3 linked regions of the Xenopus tropicalis genome follow. The protein of the gene in region 2 interacts with the protein of the main gene of each other region in a biochemical or structural test. Links are inferred from orthologs where the notes say so. Each region holds a gene or a part of one and is shown on either strand. Other genes may lie near its edges. The genes, in order: angpt2, tek and angpt1.

What was found.
Region 1: the proteins of tek (region 2) and angpt2 form a complex in vitro, tested with the Homo sapiens proteins (7 studies listed by BioGRID and IntAct, with this or other methods). The link is inferred for Xenopus tropicalis from reciprocal best matches to the Homo sapiens genes TEK and ANGPT2.
Region 3: the proteins of tek (region 2) and angpt1 form a complex in vitro, tested with the Homo sapiens proteins (6 studies listed by BioGRID and IntAct, with this or other methods). The link is inferred for Xenopus tropicalis from reciprocal best matches to the Homo sapiens genes TEK and ANGPT1.

Annotation. Positions count from the first base shown.
Region 1 is NC_030681.2:97,085,269-97,088,768, forward strand, and holds part of angpt2 (angiopoietin-2), read left to right. Parts: intron 1-2,196; coding exon 2,197-2,429; intron 2,430-3,500. UniProt on the Homo sapiens protein: Binds to TEK/TIE2, competing for the ANGPT1 binding site, and modulating ANGPT1 signaling. Can induce tyrosine phosphorylation of TEK/TIE2 in the absence of ANGPT1.
Region 2 is NC_030677.2:122,336,298-122,339,972, forward strand, and holds part of tek (angiopoietin-1 receptor), read left to right. Parts: coding exon 1-189; intron 190-316; coding exon 317-430; intron 431-1,583; coding exon 1,584-1,654; intron 1,655-1,940; coding exon 1,941-1,981; intron 1,982-2,560; coding exon 2,561-2,657; intron 2,658-3,083; coding exon 3,084-3,183; intron 3,184-3,675. UniProt on the Homo sapiens protein: Tyrosine-protein kinase that acts as a cell-surface receptor for ANGPT1, ANGPT2 and ANGPT4 and regulates angiogenesis, endothelial cell survival, proliferation, migration, adhesion and cell spreading, reorganization of the actin cytoskeleton, but also maintenance of vascular quiescence.
Region 3 is NC_030682.2:133,256,661-133,260,399, reverse strand, and holds part of angpt1 (angiopoietin-1), read left to right. Parts: intron 1-2,942; exon of another isoform or gene 2,943-2,946; coding exon 2,947-3,179; intron 3,180-3,739. UniProt on the Homo sapiens protein: Binds and activates TEK/TIE2 receptor by inducing its dimerization and tyrosine phosphorylation.

The sequences.
Region 1 (3,500 bases), on a different chromosome or scaffold from region 2:
TGGTACCCATGGAAACATTCACAAAAAGATGCGTCTTGATAGAATTTCCTCCCAATGATACACACTGGTTGCATCAGTGACCCAGATGTATCACTAGCAAAACCTTCCTCCTAATGCTTGTTTTTCAGAGCATGCATGTGCTAGCATAAACGCTATTGTTGTACATGTTTAAATTTAAGTGGACCAACAGAGGTTTTTTGAATAATTAAAAAAAACTATTTGTTTAGTATAATGGCACATAGTGGGATTTCTCCTCTGGTCAGTAATTCAAACCACTTAAAACTAGTTATTTTCAGCAAAAAATCTGCTGAAGCTTGTTTTCATGTGGAGCAAATTCAGAACTATTGTTTTCAGCCAGTTTTGTTGGTAACTTCTAAGTCAGCTGAGATACGCTGTAAATGTAAACATGGTTTTGAGACTAATGGAAAAAATAAGGGCAGTTATATAGCATGTCTTAATTAAATTTCAGAGACACAGAAAATAGAGTTGCAAAGACTAGTTAGGGATCCATATGTTGAACACGAGCCACAACGCTATCAGTCTTCTCTAAAGGACACATTTGTTCTAAATGCTACTGCATAGCTGTAGGCTACATATTTCCTTTTCATGCAACATTACTGGTCTGCAAACAACCATAGAAAATGTTTTTCACCGCTAGGTGATTATTTCAGCAATAGTACTCATTTCCCCAGTGATCAATAGAGGAAATACCATCTGTTTTCATAAAACAGCAATTGTGCCAAAGTTCATAGGTTCTTCCTCAAAACGGAGATAAAAAGCATTTCCACAGACACAATGACATAATATTTCCTTGCTGTCTAATACGTTTGTTCCTGTGCAGGGAATATTTATAAAGTCTGAAAGAGAGAATTATACTCTGAAACAGCGATAAGAAAAAATAATCTACACACTAACAGTTTTGAATTTAAGTGGAACATTTACTAAAATAATACTACATATTATACACAAGCCAATTAAACCTACCAGTCAAAGGATTAGTTCTAGAATATAAAGTGATTATTAAGGCCTTCTGGAGCTGTCAAATCACAAGCCTTTTGTCTCCCTCTTCATTATTGAAGAATGAGATATCAACGTAAGTAAGCAGCTTGAGGTAGTCTCATTAAGAAGCAGCAATACACAACCTTAAACAGTGTGCAGACCACAAGAATTCTCACAATGCATCTCAGAACCACCGTAAAGTTAAACAAGCCGTTTTGTTGCTTTTAAAAGAGTGTTAGTTTATAAAGACTAGTTTATGGACACAGGCGTACTAAAATAAACACTTTAAAACCATGTTATTATTGGTCATGTGTAACAGTTGCATTGTATAGTAATCAAAATTAAGTCTTTTATTTTCAAGAAGTTATTAAATAAATAATGGAAACCAGCCAAATTTCTGCTTTTCAAATAAATGAAATAACGATAATAAAACCAAAGTAGAGAAAACCAAAGATATTATCAATGCTTTGTCTTGTAAATGTGTGAATTTTATGACTTTTTCTTATTTACTCATAAGTACAGGTATAGGACCCATTATCCAGAATGCTCGGGACCAAGGGTATTCCGGATAAGGGGTCTTTCCGTAATTTGGATCTCAATACCTTAAGTCTACAAAAAAATCAATAAAACATTAATTAAACCCAATAGGACTGTTTTGCATCCAATAAGGATTAATTATATCTTAGTTGGAATCAATTACAAGGTTCTGTTTTATTTCTACATAGAAAAAGGAAATCAGTTTTAAAATTCTGAATTATTTGATTAAAATGGAGTCTATGGGAGACGGGCATTCCGTAATTCGGAGCTTTCTGGATAACGGGTTTCCGGATAAGGGGTCCGATACCTGTACTTACTTAATAACATATTGTCAGAATGAATATATGTTATAGTCTGAATTCAGCTAAAATCTTTCACCCAGATTTGTGGTTCCTTACTAAAAAGTATGTTAACTTCTGCTTCCCTGATCTATAGTATCCACTACAATAGTTTGTAGTTCCATGTGTTTTTAAAGTAAAAAATGGCTTTAAAAAAGAAAAACTGCATTGGCATTCAGTTCCAAAACAGAAGATGCACACAGCCCACAAATAGAATCTTATACACTGTTTTGACAAGGGTTGTATTGATTTATATTTACCTATACTAGCTTGTTTAATCATATAATCATAATTTGTATGTAATATAAATACCTCTTTTCAGCTTTTTAGAAAAGAAAGTCCTAGGCATGGAGGACAAGCACACGGCACAACTTCAGACAATAAAGGAAGAAAAGGATAAACTTCAAGATTTGGTGCTGAAGCAAAATACTATTATTGAGGATCTAGAAAAGCAACTTGTAACAGCATCAGCAAATAACTCCTTTCTGCAAAAACAGCAGCATGACTTGATGGAAACGGTACACAATCTCCTGACTAGGATGGCACCTCAGAATGGTAAGTATGGATAGAACACTAAAAAGTGCATAATTAGTAAAGGAGGGGGCTAGAACTGTAAAAACATAAATGGCATAATTCACTACAGGCAAATAAAAGCCTGGAACAAATAAAAAAGTTGCACACAAACCTTCCCAAGTAAATGAGCCTAGTTTAACAAATTATTTTCAGTCTGCTTTAATTTTCCTGTTTGCCATCCATTCCTTAGTGCAGACCACCTGGCTGTGCCAGGAACTTCACTCATGCAAAAAACTGCATCTGTCAACAGATATATTCTTTGCACATGAGAAAATATAAAAAATGAATACTTGACAAAGAAAGAGTGATGGACTGTAAGACCTTCCAGAAGGTATAATATTTTATTGTAGTAGGCACCACCATAAGAACTTCAGTGCACTTAGAATAACATACAGATACAAACGGTTAGTAAAAGTTTAATGTACCTTTCTGCATTCAGAGTGCACAAAGTCAAATCAATAAAATAATCTTACTCTATGTGCATTATTTAAATGTCTCATTCTTGATCTCAGGAATGTTAAGCAAGTAATATAACCTCTTACATTAGGAATGCCCTCCCTGATTTCCTCCGGAGAGAATCCTCTCTCAGTCTTATTAAAACGAAACTTAAAGACTACCTTTTGGAGCACTCACCCAGCACCTGATCTGAGAACTAGCACTTATATTGTAGGGGCTACCAAATAGCCAATCACAGCCCTTATTTGACACCCTCAGGAACTTTTTCATGTTTGTGTTGCGGCTCACAGGTAAAGTTGCTTGGGCCCTTACAGGGTAGTCAAATTGGAAAATTCCTCGCCTTCACTAAATATCTGTGCGGTGTAACTGTAAAATGCAACTGTTTAGTATGGAGCAAGGTACACCACTGAATGTCACTGATAACACTCCATAATACTACAAGAGAGTTACAGACACTCATTGGCCACCAAGCAGTGAGTTACCCTGAGGGTTTTCTTTCCAGCATTTCCACACCTGCCCCTTGGCTATGAACATGACCCCTGCCTAAAGGTAACCAAAACAAAAGCACCCCACCACAGCAAAGTTGAGACTGTAGCA
Region 2 (3,675 bases):
TACCTGTATTTGGCTATTGAATATGCCCCCCATGGCAATTTACTCGACTTTCTAAGAAAAAGCCGGGTACTGGAAACTGACCCAGCATTTGCTATAGCCAACAGCACGGCCTCTACCTTGTCTTCCCAGCAGCTGCTACACTTTGCTGCAGATGTGGCCCGAGGTATGGACTACCTGAGCCAAAAGCAGGTAGGTATTTATATTACACTGAAAAAGTAGCTACAGAATTTCTATCATTATTCTTTTCCTGGTTTTATCTTGAATTTAAGGATATCATTAACTTTTTTCCTTAATTTAACTTTTTTTTTTTTTATAGTTTATTCATAGGGATTTAGCAGCAAGAAACATTTTAGTTGGTGAAAACTATGTTGCAAAAATTGCAGATTTTGGTTTATCCAGAGGACAAGAAGTTTATGTAAAGAAAACTATGGTAAGAAAACTAAACTGTGTATGGAAATCCTTAAAATGAAAATAAATACTGCTTATTTCTTATACAGGTATAAGTATGTTCTATCCAGAATGCTTGGGACCTAGAATTTTTCAGAAAAGGGGGTGTTTCAGTAATGTGTTTATTCTGCTATGAATGTGGATTCATGCAGCTTAGTTACCATTAATGCCAATTGTTTTATTATTACGGAGAAAAAAGAAATAAATAAAAATGTAAAATTTTAAATCTCTTTCTCTATATAGATATAGCTATATGCCAAGGTAGTATCTTAAAAATGCCTCCTACTGCATTTACCCAAGATTGCCACATGTAATGTGACAGGGTTATAGTAAATGAGTGTTTAAATTGCAAGTTGTGTCAGTAATGCTTAAAAACAGTAAAACAGGAGGAAAAATGCCTTCACTCTCGAAGAGAAATATAGAGCAAGAATTCTGTACTATTTTCACGTAATTCGGATATCTATAGGGTACATTTTTCTGGTGGTAGATATAAAATGTAATAGTGAGCAAAGTTTGGTCTTACTGCTATGGGCACAAACATACCTTCCCACCTGCCTTAGAAAGCACTAATATAAGAAAACACCAAACTGTTACATATATGGTGGACCTGCTCTGATATCCAAACCTTCTGGTCTTCAGCCTTTTCTCTATTATTAAATTACTTCTAACAAAACTTTGTTTTATCCCCAGAAGCAATGTTACTAACATATATGACAGCATACCAAACAAAGCTCTGGAAACAGAGATTTTCCAAATCTTAAATAAAGTTAGGCTTCTAATTCCCAGAAATTGGAAAAACCAAGATGTACCAATTATTTTTCAGTTAATTAGAGAAGTTAATCTCAACCTAGAATATGAAATGGCAATACCAAGAAGCATCTCAGGAAAAAGATACTTACAGGAAGCTCAGCAAATATGGAAGAATATCTCTGGACCAGATAATCTTTAGATCTGTTGCTTTTTTTACTGTACTATACAAAAATGGGAGCTATCATTTGAAATTGTAATTATTTTGGTATTTTGTTTTCCTTTTCTTTTTGACAATGTTCGTAATGAGAACATTGTACTTGCTATGAGTAATATTAAAATAAAAATAAAAAAAATAGTAAAAAAACCTAAATATCTTTTTTTAACAGGGAAGACTTCCTGTTCGATGGATGGCGATTGAGTCTTTGAACTACAGTGTCTATACATCAAACAGTGATGTGTAAGTAACTTTAGAACTTTATATATCAAGCTCACATTAAATAATGCCTCCCAACAAACTCAGTTTAAAAACTAGGGCAATTTTATCATGAGGCAGCCAAATCGTTTTAATGCCAGAAAAAATGATAAATTGATAATGTTTTACTTTGACTAAATGTTATCCTTAATTAATCATTTTAGCGCTTATTCCTAGTCATATTTCATAACATGATTATGTTGATGGTTATGTAATCTGTTTAGTAAATCTGCATGAAATTAATCTTTTTTTTCTGAATATATCTTTATAGATGGTCTTTTGGAGTATTATTGTGGGAAATTGTAAGCCTGGGTAAGTGCTTATATATTTAGGTCACTGACTCACATAAATAAAAATCACAGCTCTGTAAATAAGTGAGATGATTTATAAGGTGAAAATAATTCCCTAATATCAGTTTACAGACAGAAAAGTAGGTTCATATTTCATATTAATAAGTTGAGCGCCTGTCTATTACTTTACATAAAGTCAGCTCTTAAGTCTGTGGCACATGGGGCCAATCTAAGGTGGAAAATTGCAACAGGCAAAACACCTCCACCTTTCACCTATTTCCACAGAAATGCTTGCCTGAAGAACATATAGTGGTGACAGGTGGACCAAATTTGACTTCATTGGCTTAGAAATGAATAAATACACTATTGCTATTTACTGATTTAAACCTCAACTTCATTGCTGCTTTTTAGGTGCAGTACAAACATTTTATATAAAGCCCAAAATACTTTAATGGGGCCTATTTTGGGAACCCCTATACGGATCATTCAGAAGATTAAAACATGTTTCACTGTGTATGTATATGTAACAAGTATATTATTGCAATTGCCATTTTATGGCAAATACCACCGAAATATGTAAATTATGCCTTTTTTTTTTAAGGTGGAACACCATATTGTGGGCTGACATGTGCAGAACTTTATGAAAAGCTTCCACAAGGATACAGACTTGAGAAGCCTCTGAACTGTGATGATGAAGTGTAAGTAAGAGACTTTACTGACAAACTGTAATGAATAATAAGTGGTGCTATTATACAGTATACAGGCACATGCAAAAATGGCCAGGACTTACTAACCTGCATAAAGTATGCATATTAGGTTCTATATATATATATATATATATATATATATATATATATATATATATATATATATATATATATATATACCTCAGTGTTCAAAAAAAAAAAAAACAACTGGTTTAAATTGGCAAGTTCCTAGTACATTTTGGCTGCCATAATAGTGTCTAGTGAAGAGTTTGGTATTGCGCAGCTAAAATGATCCAAAATACTTGCAAAACTTTGCCAGGTGCTTCAGATCACTGTGTTGTTTAAGGGAATTGATCTATACCATCTATACATAATTTGTGCAAAAATCGTTACTTTTTTTGTCTTTTTTAAATAAAGGTATGACCTCATGCGGCAGTGCTGGCGTGAGAAGCCATATGAAAGACCATCATTTGCCAAAATTGTGGTGTCCCTTAACCGAATGCTGGAAGAAAGAAAGGTAAAGACTTGCACATTGTTTTTTTAATATTGCAGAGAACCTGGATCCAGTCATACCACTCTAACCGCTCCTGCTATGTCTCATTTTTGGATAAAACCTCTTCACCAGCTCTCTGTTGGGTCCCTTAAGGCTCTGTCCTTGGACCAAACTCTTGTCATTATACACTGCATCTCTGGGTCAAGTCATCAGCTCCTTTGGTTTTAATATCTATATGCTGATGACACCCAAATCATGCCCATCTCTTGATCTTTTCCCCTCTGTCATATCCCAAGCGTCTAATAGCTTCTCTGCTATATCCTCTTCTCTGCTATATTACCACACATGCACACATGCCCTAAACAAAGCTATCATTGAATCTGGTATGCAGGTTTGCTGTGTTGGAGTCATGTTTGGTTCCACATTCACATTAATACCTTATATCCAATCCCTTCAAAATCTTGCAGATTAGATCTTAAAAATATTGCAAAAAAAAATAAATAAATAAAATACTAG
Region 3 (3,739 bases), on a different chromosome or scaffold from region 2:
GAACTACAACCCACACAGGTGTTGTGCAATATAATAAGTGATTGGACGCCAGGAGCTCTTGCAGTTAACTGGATAATACTTTATTGGACAAAGGCACATATGGAATAGTGCAACAGGGTATATACTCACAGTCACAGCAGTATAGAACTTGGTCACAGAGAACACAGCAGAAGTGACACTCAAGGTAACAGTATAGCCCACTTGGAGGATATGCAGAGTATTAGCTGTATGCCAGGAATGGATGCCCTTTACTGGAACGGATCCCCTCCAGCCAACTATGGTTCAGGGTAAGGAACTGCCTGAATCCTGCGTCTTAACTGGGGTCCCTACAGCAAGGCATACAAAGCCTGGGTTAGACTAAACCCTTACAGTCTCCTTTGATGGGGCTAGTGCTGCCCTTACTAAATAAGCTGATTATGCTCACCACTCCTAGAGGGTGCTATTACATATAACTGACTGTGCTGGCTTTATCTCATTCACGGGGCCCTGTCCCCGACTTACAATTTGGCAGGTTCTACTTACTGGGGCCGAATGCCTCAGGCTCAGTGACGTGCAGCCTTAGGACAACAGCAGCCAAAGAGGAAGACACTTCCTTGTGCCAGAAACTATATAGTCTGCCAAGGGGAGTGGTCAACCTGGGCTAAACCTATAGGGGGTAGCCTAATACTGTAATCTGAGTGTAGAGGGCTCTGCCCTATTACAGCACAGATAAGGAAAAGTTAAGGGATAACACCATAGGGAGCTTAACCCTATGGGTCCCTACATATTCTTCCCTTATTCTCTACTGCACATACTATGACACTTGTGGACAACAGTTAGAAGGGAATACACACAGAATAGGGGAGTTCATGTAGGGCGACCTACTGTGGATGCAATCATAAAATATAACCTTTTGCAACACATAGTTCATTAACATTAGTGATGAGGGAATTTTTATGCCAGGTATGGATTTGCAGCAAATTTCCGCATTTTGGCATTGGCGAATTGTTTTGCAAAATTTCAGTGAAAATTCAGCACAAAAAATTTTGACGTGCCTCAAAAAAAGTCACAGTCGCATCAAACTAGGCACGGTCACGTAAAAATAGGCACAGTTGTGTCAAATTTGTTGCGGTCCCTTCGAAATGAGCGCAGACGCTTAAAAAAAAAGTCACGCAAGTCAAAAAGGTCAATTTTTCTGTCGTTTCACTAATATTTTGGTGAAGCTAAACAGGGCAGATTCACTCATCACTAATTAACACTATCTACAATATCAAATATAATATGATACATCTAATAACTACAGTACCCTGTGATGCTGTGTTAAGTGTGGCTTAGTCTGAAGGCCAGTGAGAATTGGAGAGAATGGCAATTTGTTATCCTACAAGCCAATTTTGAGCATCATTTAGAGTGAGTTTGTGATTACAGGTATCGGATCCCTTATCTGGAAACCCGTTATCCAGAAAGCTCCGAATTACGGAAAGCCTGTCTCCCATAGACTCCATTTTCCAAATAATTCAGAATTTTAAAAATGATTCCCTTTTTCTCTGTAGTAATAAAACAGTACCTTGTAATTGATCCCAACTAAGATATAATTAATCCTTATTGGGGGCAGAACAGCCCTATTGGGTTTATTTCATGGTTAAATGATTCCCTTTTCTCTGTAATAATAAAACAGTACCTGTACTTGATCCCAACTAAGATATAATTACCCCTTATTGGGGGCAGAACAGCCCTATTGGGTTTATTTCATGGTTAAATGATTCCCTTTTCTCTGTAATAATAAAACAGTACCTGTACTTGATACCAACTAAGATATAATTACCCCTTATTGGGGGCAGAACAATCCTATTGGGTTTATTTAATGGTTAAATGATTCCCTTTTCTCTGTAATAATAAAACAGTACCTGTACTTGATCCCAACTAAGATATAATTACCCCTTATTGGGGGCAGAACAGCCCTATTGGGTTTATTTAATGGTTAAATGATTCCCTTTTCTCTGTAATAATAAAACAGTACCTGTACTTGATCCCAACTAAGATATAATTACCCCTTATTGGGGGCAGAACAGCCCTATTGGGTTTATTTAATGGTTAAATGATTCCCTTTTCTCTGTAATACTAAAACAGTACTTGTACTTGATCCCAACTAAGATATAATTACCCCTTATTGGGGGCAGAACAGCCCTATTGGGTTTATTTAATGGTTAAATGATTCCCTTTTCTCTGTAATAATAAAACAGTACCTGTACTTGATCCCAACTAAGATATAAATAATCCTTGTTGGGGGCAAAACAATCCTATTGGGTTTATTTAATGTTTTATTGATTTTTTAGTAGACTTAAGGTATGGAGATCCAAATTACGGAAAGTCCCCTTATCCGGAATACCCTTGGTCCTGAGCATTTTGCATAACGGGTCCTATACCTGTACTATGTGTTGTCTGATCTAAATATTCTTAAAATGATGATGAAATGACTGATTTGTCACTATTTTTTATATCAGTACCCACTTCATGAACTAAGGGGGTCTCTTGAGCCAAGGCTGGATCATCAAGGGTGCTTGAACGGAAAATGTTTGACAAGCACTGCTATATATGTATTGCTGTTGGGTCCGACAGAAATGGGGGAGGGGTTCTTCATGGGAGCAACATATTTAATTGATAAATTCTAAGTAAAGCACAGGGGAATATGGTAGTGCCACGCCATTGGCATATAATATGTATGTGGGAGGTGCTACCCAGGCACAATAACCATTTATCCCCTTCCTAGAAGTCATGGACTGCTCATGTACAAATTATTTAGTACATTGAAAATAGTTTGTCAGGGAACAATGCAGCAAATTAGAATGGCAGTCAAACAGATGCTTATACAAAATCCCTGAATAATGTTCAAACTACTCAAATAAAATGTAAAATCTCTTGCTCTGTCTATTGCTCAATTGCCATTTTTTTATTCTTCCTTATTCACAGTTTGCTAGAAAACAAAATGGTGGAAATGGAAGAGAGACACAAGGATGAACTGAATACCATAAAAACAGAAAAGGAATCTTTGCAAAATCTAGTGTCCCGCCAGATTTACATCATCCAGGAGCTGGAGAAGCAGCTGAATAAGGCAACAAACAACAACAGCATCTTGCAGAAACAGCAGCTGGAGCTCATGGAGACGGTGCACAACCTCGTTAAACTCTGTTCCAAGGAAGGAGGTGAGTGGCATCTGTATTCCCAAGGATTGCCCTTGAGAGCACCATTGTTCTGCTCTGATATACAGGTCTCTTATATACTTTATAGCTCTGATGTCTATACATCAAGGGGGTGATTTATCAACTTTCAAGCTTGATTTTTGTTTCACAATTCAAAGTTTTTTGGGCTAAAAAAACTCAAATTGGAATTATGTTTCAAAAACTCGAATGTCTGGTATTTATTAAAGGAGACATATTGGATAAATGGGAAAAACGCTAATTTTGTAGGCAATTATGAATAATATACGGTGCTGGTTTCACTTTGGGCTAAACATTAATCCTATCTGTAACAATGGCCCCTTTATTGGAGCTCCCTATAGATCCTATCACTTCTCTGTCCAGTGTGAAATGAAGAGTGGGCGTGTCCTAATGGTCCCTGCCAGAAGCACAGTAGGAGGGGGAGAGCCAATCACAGCCCTGCACTCACACAAGCACAGACAGGCTTCAGTTCCCTATCAGGTCAGCCTAGCTGCTGATTGGTTCCTATGCTACAGTGCAGTGTACTGAGGGCTGCTGGCTCCCCA